Sus scrofa: one gene and its partner. The protein of the gene in region 2 interacts with the protein of the main gene of each other region in a pairwise test. Links are inferred from orthologs where the notes say so. Each region holds a gene or a part of one and is shown on either strand. Other genes may lie near its edges.

The links.
Region 1: the proteins of LDOC1 (region 2) and LENG1 interact in binary tests that used the Homo sapiens proteins (3 or more experiments, as listed by UniProt). The two-hybrid records come from large-scale screens. The link is inferred for Sus scrofa from reciprocal best matches to the Homo sapiens genes LDOC1 and LENG1.

What each region holds. Positions count from the first base shown.
Region 1 is NC_010448.4:55,969,028-55,973,565, reverse strand, and holds the start of LENG1 (leukocyte receptor cluster member 1), read right to left. Parts: upstream 2,982-4,538; 5' UTR 2,896-2,981; coding exon 2,764-2,895; intron 1,659-2,763; coding exon 1,479-1,658; intron 1-1,478. Other genes in the region: TMC4 (transmembrane channel-like protein 4), read right to left, coding at 3,497-3,565, 3,651-3,729, 3,959-4,114, 4,222-4,352.
Region 2 is NC_010461.5:115,579,222-115,583,493, reverse strand, and holds LDOC1 (protein LDOC1), read right to left. Parts: upstream 2,873-4,272; 5' UTR 2,659-2,872; coding exon 2,218-2,658; 3' UTR 365-2,217; downstream 1-364. UniProt on the Homo sapiens protein: May have an important role in the development and/or progression of some cancers.

The DNA of each region.
Region 1 (4,538 bases), on a different chromosome or scaffold from region 2:
AGTTTCAAACAATGCAACTGACAAGGGCTTAATCTCTAAAATAATTCGAACAATTCATACAACTCTAGAGCAAAAAACCCAACCCATCTGAAAAATGGGCAGAAGACCTGAATAGAAACTTCTCTAAAGGAGACACACAGATGGCCAACAGGCACATGAAACAATGCTCAGCATCACTAATTATTAGGAAAACGCAAATCAAAACTACTCTGAGGTGCCACCTCACACTGTTCAGAATGGCCATAATTAGGAAATCTACAAACAAATGCTGGAGAGGGTGTGGAGAAAGGGGTACCCTCCTACACGTAAATCAGTCCAACCACTGTGGAAAGCAGTAGGGAGGTACCTCAGAAAACCAGATATAGTAGTACGGTATGACCCAGCAATCCCACTCTTGGGCATATATTCAGACAAACTTTCACTGAAAAAGACACACGCACCTGTATGTTCACTGCACCACTATTCACAACAGCCAAGACGTGGAAACAATCTAAATGTCCATCCACAGACAATGGATGAAGAAGACGTAGCACATATGCACAATGGAATACTACTCAGCCATAAAAAAGAACAAAATAATGCTATTTGCAGCAACATGGATGGAACAAGAGACTCTCATACTAAGTGAAGTAAATCAGAAAGAGAAAAACAAATGCCATACATTATCACTTATATCTGGAATCTAATACGTGGCACAAATGAACCTTTCTACAGAAAAGAAACAAACTCATGGACTTGGAGAAGAGACTTGTTGCCAAGGGAGTGGGAGTGGAGAGAGAATGAGATCCTGCCGCACAGCACAGGGAACTATGTCTAGTCACTTGTGCTGGAACATGACGGAGGATAATGTGAGAAAAAGAATGTATATATATATGTACACACACATGTATATATGTTTAACTGGGTCACTTTACTGAAAAGCAGAAATTGACAGAACATTGTAAATCAACTATAATTTTAAAAATTTAAAAAAAAATAAAATCAAAGCTCCTTAACACTCCCCAGATATCTATACATCTGGACACCAGGTTAGAGACCTGACAGGTTTGTACTTAGCACCCCGACAGTAACCAACTTCTCTTGACTGCTATGTTTCAGTACTCTTCTTTTTTATTTTAAGGCCGCACCCTTAGCATATGGAAGTTCCCAGGCTAGGGGTCTTCCCACATTGCCTACGCCACAGCCGCAGCAATGGGGGATCCAAGCCGCGTCTGCGACCCAGACTACAGCTCACAGCAACAACGGACCCTTAACCCACTGAGCGAGGCCAAGGATGGAACCCACATCCTCATGGATCCTGGTCGGGTTCGTTAACTGATGAGCCACAAAGGGACTTCCTCATTACTCTTAAGAGTTCTCTAAATTAGCTATATGATTCCTTCTGTGTCCCTAAATACCCCTCAGTCACACCTGAAAGCAAGGTGCTCCCCCAGCCCCAGCTCCATCCATGACTGATGGAGAGGGCAGGACCAACTTACTTTCTCTTGTCGCTTCTCTTCTTCGTACTCTTTATTGCCTCTGCTCAAGCCTTTCCCTTCCTCTAGCAGCTCCCGAAACAGATCCACAGGGCCAGACCTTGGGGCTCCTGCTTCTGCTGCTTCAAGCGCAGGCAGTGAGTTCTGATGCCTAGCTTTCTTCCGCAGGAATTCCGTGCGGGCCTGGGGGAAAAGAAAGTTACAGGCAGAATATTCAGAACCTAGATGTGATTCAAGGAACAGTGAATCTAGTGCCAACCACAGACGGGGGCTGTAAGGAAGGGAGCAGAGGCACTCGGAGCCAGGAAAGGCACCTGCCCCAGCTTCGAGAAAAGGTGGAGAAATAAGGCAATATCTGGGTTTGCAAGCTACCTTTCAAACAGAAAACCAGAGGGATTCCGAATTTCCAGTGACACAATAAAAACAGCTATTAATGGAGTTCCCTTGTGACGCAGCGGGTTAAGGACCCCGCCTTGTCACTGCAGCAGCTCAAGTCGCTGCTAAGGCTCAGGTTCAGTCCCTGGCCTGGGAACTCCCACATGCGGTGGGCACTGCCAAAAAAAAACAAACAGAAAAACCGCTATGAAGGCAACCAAAACATGTATTAGAACAGGTGATCTGAATTCCAGGTTGGGCTTCGAGTCACTATCCCCGGTTGGTTTGCAATTTCTAGTGATAAATGAGAATTTTAAAAGCCCTAACTATCCCCCAGCCAGTGCTGACCACCAAATTAGCTAAAGGACTGGAAGTGAGGTGTAAATCAAACAGGTGAGGAGTTACAAAGACTGCCTCTGGTGTTTCTGTGTGGCCGGCAGTGCAGGCAAAGGGCTCGCCCGATAAAACTGAATTGCCTTGTTCCACTGTCATTTCGCTGTGGCCTCCTCTCTGAAGGCATCTCACCCCTCTGCAAAATAGAAATGATAGCGCCTCCTCTAAGAATGAACGGTGCTTGAGATATTTTGCAAGTCAAGCGTTCTGCAGCAGGCGCTCACTAAATGGGGACTTTGCGCAGGCAAACTGAAAAGTAGCCCGGGTTTCCTTGAACTACTCAGGGCTTCGTTTTTTCATGAGCTCCTACTATGGCCTCGAGAAGTACAGGAGCGGGGGAAGAGCAAGAGCGGCGAGAGTTCAAGGAGAGCTAATCAAAGCACTAGGAGAAGATACTTCCAAAGCACCCAGCCCCAAATTCCCCACGGTGTGCCCTGCGCCTGCGCGCCGCACCGCTTCCGGTCCCTCCCGAGGAGCCTGCGCGCTCAGCCCCGGAGCCCCGGCCGGGCTCGGTGCTTACCTCTTGCTGAGCGAGAAGCACCCTCCGCTCACGCTCTTTCTCTTCCTCCCGGGCTTGGGCCTCGTCACGCCGCACGCGGGCCACATTGTCCTTGTTCCGGACGTGCCAGCTCTTCTTGGGTAGGATATTCATGGCGCCGTAGCTGTCCGCGAACTGGCAGGCCCGCCTCCTAGCACTTCCGATTGGCAGGAGGATGGCCCCTCCCTGTTGTTTCTGCCTCGGTCACGGATTGGTCCTAGACTACTTGGCACGCCCCCCCGGGTCCGTAGCAAAGGCTGATTGGCTGAGACCCCCACCTCCCATCGCGGAGCATCGCGCGTGCGGTCGCCCAGCGACGGCCTCTCCTGAAGATCCCGAGTCCATCACAAGTGTCCCCGCCCTGACGCTGCCGAACGCAGCCGCTGATTGGCTGACACGCCCACCAGGTGTTCTCGAGGAAATGCCCTCCACACCAACCCTCCCCGGCCAACGCATTTGATTGGCTTCTGTCTCGCTGAAGTCTTGCCCCCGGCTTCCGGACACAAGTTTCAAAAAGCGTTCAGCAGCCTCCGTTGTGTTTATTGATACAAGAAAGGGGTTCACTGGAGAGGCAGCGACCCCCAGGGCTGGAAAGGCATGGGATGTTCTCCAGTTCTTTCATTTTCCAAACGACGCGGCCGAGACCTTCAAAGGATCTGGGGGTGGGTCTCTGTCTGAAAGCGAGACGTCGTCACCCTGAACCAGGCTGGGAAGGTCAAAGAGCTCCGTTGGCCGAGCTCAGTGCCACAGCGCGCTGTGCCAGGAAGACTTTATTCTGTGCCTCCTGGGGTAAAGGGTAAAGAGAGGTGGAGGTGAGACAGATCTCTAGATTCCCCGGGACCCCTTGCCAAGGACCCGGCCTGACTCACCGTCTCTATCTGGCGTTTGAGCTCAGAGATGAGGCGTCCATATGAGTTAGCCAGGGCCACAGTATATGCCATCAGGATGCTAGAGGAGACGGAATGAAAGCCACTCCCCAAACACGCTTAGTGTATCTTCGACGTAAGACTCTTTTAGAAACCAGGGGCCCGGACCTCCTTCAGACTCAAGAAGTCTAGTATCCCAGTTCCCTTCTTCCCGCAGACCCAGAAGTTTGGGCCCCCAGCCCCCTCCGTTCTCGGAAGTAGGACCCCAGATCACACGTTCAAACCCGGATGCAGGAGTCTGGGGCCCTCACCTGGATAACAGCAGAAGGGGCACAGCAAATGCCTGGGTCCCCAGGAAGAAGAGAAAATTCTGGGCAGTCTCGGGGAGGCTTCCGATAGACTTAGGGATCTCGGACCAGATGGACAACTGCCCCCGGAATGGACCACACAGCTTAGAAGGTGGGATCCTGAAGTCAGAGACAGACAGGCAGAGCTCCAGGATGGCCACAAGTCAGAACCTTGGAGGGAAGTGGGAAGAGGGAGGGAAAGAGAGGCAGGTGCCTCTCACACTTACACGAAGATGCCATATAGCACAGGAACGGCGGAGATGGCCAGACCCAGGAGAAGCACCAGGGGGAAAAAGAAATTCACAGTAGAGGCCCGAAATGTGCGGGAGGCCGGGGAGCAGGTGGAGAAGAGGGTGAGCTGGCGCAGGAAGGAGAGAATGTGAGACACAGGCGTCTGAGCCCCAGACTCTCCTCCACCGGGAACCCTGGCCCCCTCTTCTCAGTCAGGATCCTGGAGTCCCAGTTCTTTTAACACCATCGGACACAGTAGTCCGGGTCCCCTCTTCCCTCAGACCTGAAAGTTGGAGTGCCCTGGCCTCCTCCT
Region 2 (4,272 bases):
GGCCCAACACTTCCCCACATCTACTGTTTGGGCCTCAACCTCCTTTGCTAAGTCCTATCTACCCCTGTCCCCACCCTACAGAAACAACTTTCTTAGGTCCAAAAGATGACTCTTGCTCTAGACTTTGTCTGTTCACCAAGTAAACTGGTTTTCTATCTGACTTCATGTCAGATCCCAAAGAGTAAAAATGAACTCTTGTCATGCTCTCATTTCCATTCTCTCTGCTGAGCTTATTCTGCTCCTGTTCACTCCTAACACCTTCCTACTGAAGCCCAGCTCAACAGCAAGAGACCTGTTCCCTGTATCTCATTGAACCCACAATGTAAGGTTTATTGGTACAAATAAAACACTCAGCATCAAAAGGTCTTAAACAAGAAGGAATTTTATTATCTAAATTAGAGGTTCTAAAGTAGGGCTGGTTCCCGGCATGGTACAGAAGACATCTGGGCAGATACATGTAAGAATCAGAATTCTGAACCCCTCAAATCCTCCTGACAGTTCCTGGCTGGCAGCGATAGGCCCCACAAATCCCCTAATCAGGCTTCCCTGATTTAACATTTCAAAGACTTAACCTGGGGTTATGGGCTCACAAAAGTAGAGATTATTCTCAGCACTCACCCCACTCCCTTAGGGCCTCCAGCCCTCCAGGCCCACAAAAAGATCTCAGCACAGCTCAGACAGCATTACAAGATCTAGTATGGGAGATAGCCAGGCATCTTGTCGATTTCTACAGGCAGGAATCTGGGGCACACAGATGGGTGGGGATCTTAAGGGTTATCTGCCCAAGGAGGATGAAACATTAAAATCTGGCTCCACTTATGGGTGCATTTACCCAGGACTCAGGATTTAACATTAGCTCAAGCATCTAAAATCGGTATTGAAACAATGTGCTACCTTGTTTATGGAAGCCTGAACTCAAACAGCACCCTGCAAGGAATAAGAGTTAAGAGGCAGCACTTGCCTGGCAGGGCTGAGAAAGAACCCAAAAGCTCAGGAAGACAGGAATATGGTATGTGCCCTGATGTACGCCTATTGTCCCATTCCGATTAGTAATAGTGCCCCCTTTTTCTCTCGAGTGTCCCAGTTTGGGATGGTGTGCCATCTACTCAACTACCCCTTATTCATCCCATCCTGGAAGCCCCAGAGGACACTCACTTCACCAGGGCTTTAAAAAGTGCCTTGGTGAGGGGAGCACCAGTTTCCCTATAAAGCTCTGTAGTAGCAGTCCTCTATTGCCCAGACATGACAGTAGAGAATAATGGGATTGAACTAGGCTCTCTGATATCAGTAGGAATAATGGGAGTCAGGGTGAGAGTGGCAAAGGCCAATGATAGCACTTAACCATTAAAAGACGCTCTTTTTTTTCCGTAGTGCTTGATATTTATTGAAAAGAATGCAAATGCTTTTTCTATGTAGTATTGAGGAGCTGGGCTGAGTACCTGCTTTTGTCTGTCTGGTTTTTGTTTTTAGTATTTTTGTCCAAATGCACACAGCTGTGGGACTGCTTCAGTTTTAAAAGAAAAATGACAGTTGTGCAAAACTGGTGCATAAGAGAAATGTCAATAATTTGGCTGCCAGGCACAACGGGCCCCTGCAGCAACCTGGTGAGGCAGGAGAAGACTCTATGAGTTAGGAAAGGAGGGAACGAACCAGGTGCAAAGATTCGCCCCTCGTGGGGGGGTGGGGTGGGCGTGAGCAGTCCAAATCAATGTCCCAGGTGGTATAGCCAACTAAAAGCATCTTCTAGGTTGGTCCTTGTCTCCAAAGGCCTGGTCTGTCTGTCGCTGGAATGTGATGGAGGTTGGTTAGGTGGCAGCGTCGGTCTTTGGGCAGATGTAGGCCTGACAATCGGCAGGGCTGTGGGTAGTCTGACCAGTTTGTAACAGTCTGCCCTATAGTTGGGGCTCAGAACACAGTTCAAATTAGCAGGGTTGGGCCCTGGGACTGGCCTGAGTGGGAGGCAGCGCACTTCAGAGAGGCCCCAGCCCCAGCAGCAGGTAACTGTAGCACTATTCCCAGAACAAAGACAAACACTACGGGGGGGGGGGGGGGGGGGGGGGAGCGGTGAATAAGGAAGAGAACCAGAGCGAAGACTAGGAAGACTAGGGAAGCAGATAGGGAGCGAGGGAAGTGTCGCGGCTCCGGGAGGAGCGAAGCGGGGCGGGGGGTGGTGGCGGCGTGCAGGGCCCACCCCCCTAGGCCCGAGGGTCTCCCGGCCTAGTAATCAGCTTCTTCATCTTCTTCGTCGTCTTCTTCGTCGTCATCCCAGCCAAAACACTGCTTCATCTCATCGAGGAAGGCCCGGTAATCACCTAGGATGGGGCTATCCATCTCAATGTAGGGCACCACCCACTCTTCGGCTTCCCCGGTGAGCAGGCTGATTAGGAATGCCACCTTCATGGCGTCGTTGCAGAACCGGTTCTCGTTGACGAGCATGTAAGACGCCGTCTGCACGATAAACTCAGGGAGGCGGGAGCTCTCACCGTTAAACGTTTCGGGGAAGGGCACCGGGCAGCTCGGCGGACGTACCTGGCGCAGTAGGGTGGCCCTCTCGCACACCAGCAGCCGCAGCTGTTCCATGAGCTGGCTGTTCTCGATGCTCAAGGCGCGGTGCCGCATCAGGAGCGCGTGCAGCAGCAGTACCAGCTCGTCCACCATGGCGAACAGCTTGTAAGAGCAAGAATGGGCTCAGCTCGGTTCGGATCGGCTAAGGTGAGCAAGGAGGCCTTGCAGGAAGTGCGTGTCCGCGGAGGCGCGCGGCGGCCAGGGGCGAGAGGCGGTGCGCGCAGGGGTCCCGGCAGCTGCGCAAGCTCCACCCACACAGCGGCTCTGACGGCCGGCACGCCGGCGCCGCCCGCTTGGAGGGAGGCGGGCACTGGAGAAAGGAGGGGCGTGGCCAGAGTGGAGCGGACAGAGGGAGGGCGTGGCCAGGCAAGGAGGCGGGCAGGGTCTCGGGCTGCTGGCTCGCAGTTCTCCCGGCCCGTGGATAAAGGCAGTGGGGGGAGATCCAGCCCTAGATGCGGGCCAGGCCTTAGCCAAGGCCGAGCAAACGCTAAGATCCATCTCCCAGAGAGGGTTAACCTGCTCAAGTTTAAAGGATTAACCACCCTTCAACCCAAACGACTCAATGTTCCTCGGTGGGTCTGTGGCCACCAGATTCCATTTATGTGGTTTTAACACATTTCTTTGCGTGTTTAAATCTCCCTCACTCAGAGAACTATTAGCAATTCTGGCTGCACCGCAGGAGTCACATCCTTTAAGAGTTATGAAAGACGTTCAGGAGTCCTGTCTTTCATGACAAAGTAATACTTAAAAAGAGGTTTTTCTTTAGTTGTAAAATAATATTGTGTACCTCTATCCTTTTGTTTAAAATTACTTTTAAATAGCAAAGTGTAAAAAGTTCTGCAAAAGTTAGTATCCAATCACCATTTGCATGAGTCCTGCCTATCTTTGACTCTATTTCATGTCCTACTACTGGTTATTGTTCTTTGCTTAACAATGAACACATGTGTTTTTAAAATAGTTTTGTTTTCTACTTTGAATGTGATTATTCAAATAGTTGACAAATAAGTCAGGGTGAGGACCTTGGGGCCAATATATTTTTTTAGCTTTGCTTTTTAAATATATCAGCAGTTTAATTACCTGGGGATCTCTAAACAGCACTACCACCCTAAGGCCAGCCCTCCTTTCTCACACAGACTGTTGCAGCTCATCACTTAGCTTCCACTCTTCTCTTCCTCAAGTTGTGTGTGTGTGTGTGTGTATTATATACATACTCCAGAGTAGATATAGGAATCCTTTAGGACAAACATTAGATCTCTTTACTTTCCTGCTCAAAACCCTCCAATAGTTTTTCCCCCTTCGCTCAAAATAAAAACCAAAGTCTCGGTAATGGCCTATCAAGCCCTGCCTCACTCCCTTTGCCTTGTCCCAGTTCCTGCTCTGCTGTCATCACACTGTCCTTCTTGCTGAGGCTCACACACACTGAGTGGCTCTGGCCTCAGGATCTTTGTACTTTCTTTTTTGCCTCAGAATGTTCTCCTGGTTTTACTGCCTGACTCTTCCTCCATTTTCAAAGCGGACTTTCCTAACTACCTCATCTATCAGAGCACCCCACTCTCTGCCAGTAACCTCTAACGTTTGCCTTGCTTCATTTCTCTACATAGCATTTATCCTACTAACAGCCATCATATCACATAGCACTTTGTTTATAGGTCAGCTTCCCCTTTAAAATGTCTGTGTGGACAGAGGCTTTGCTTTGTTGGTTGCTCT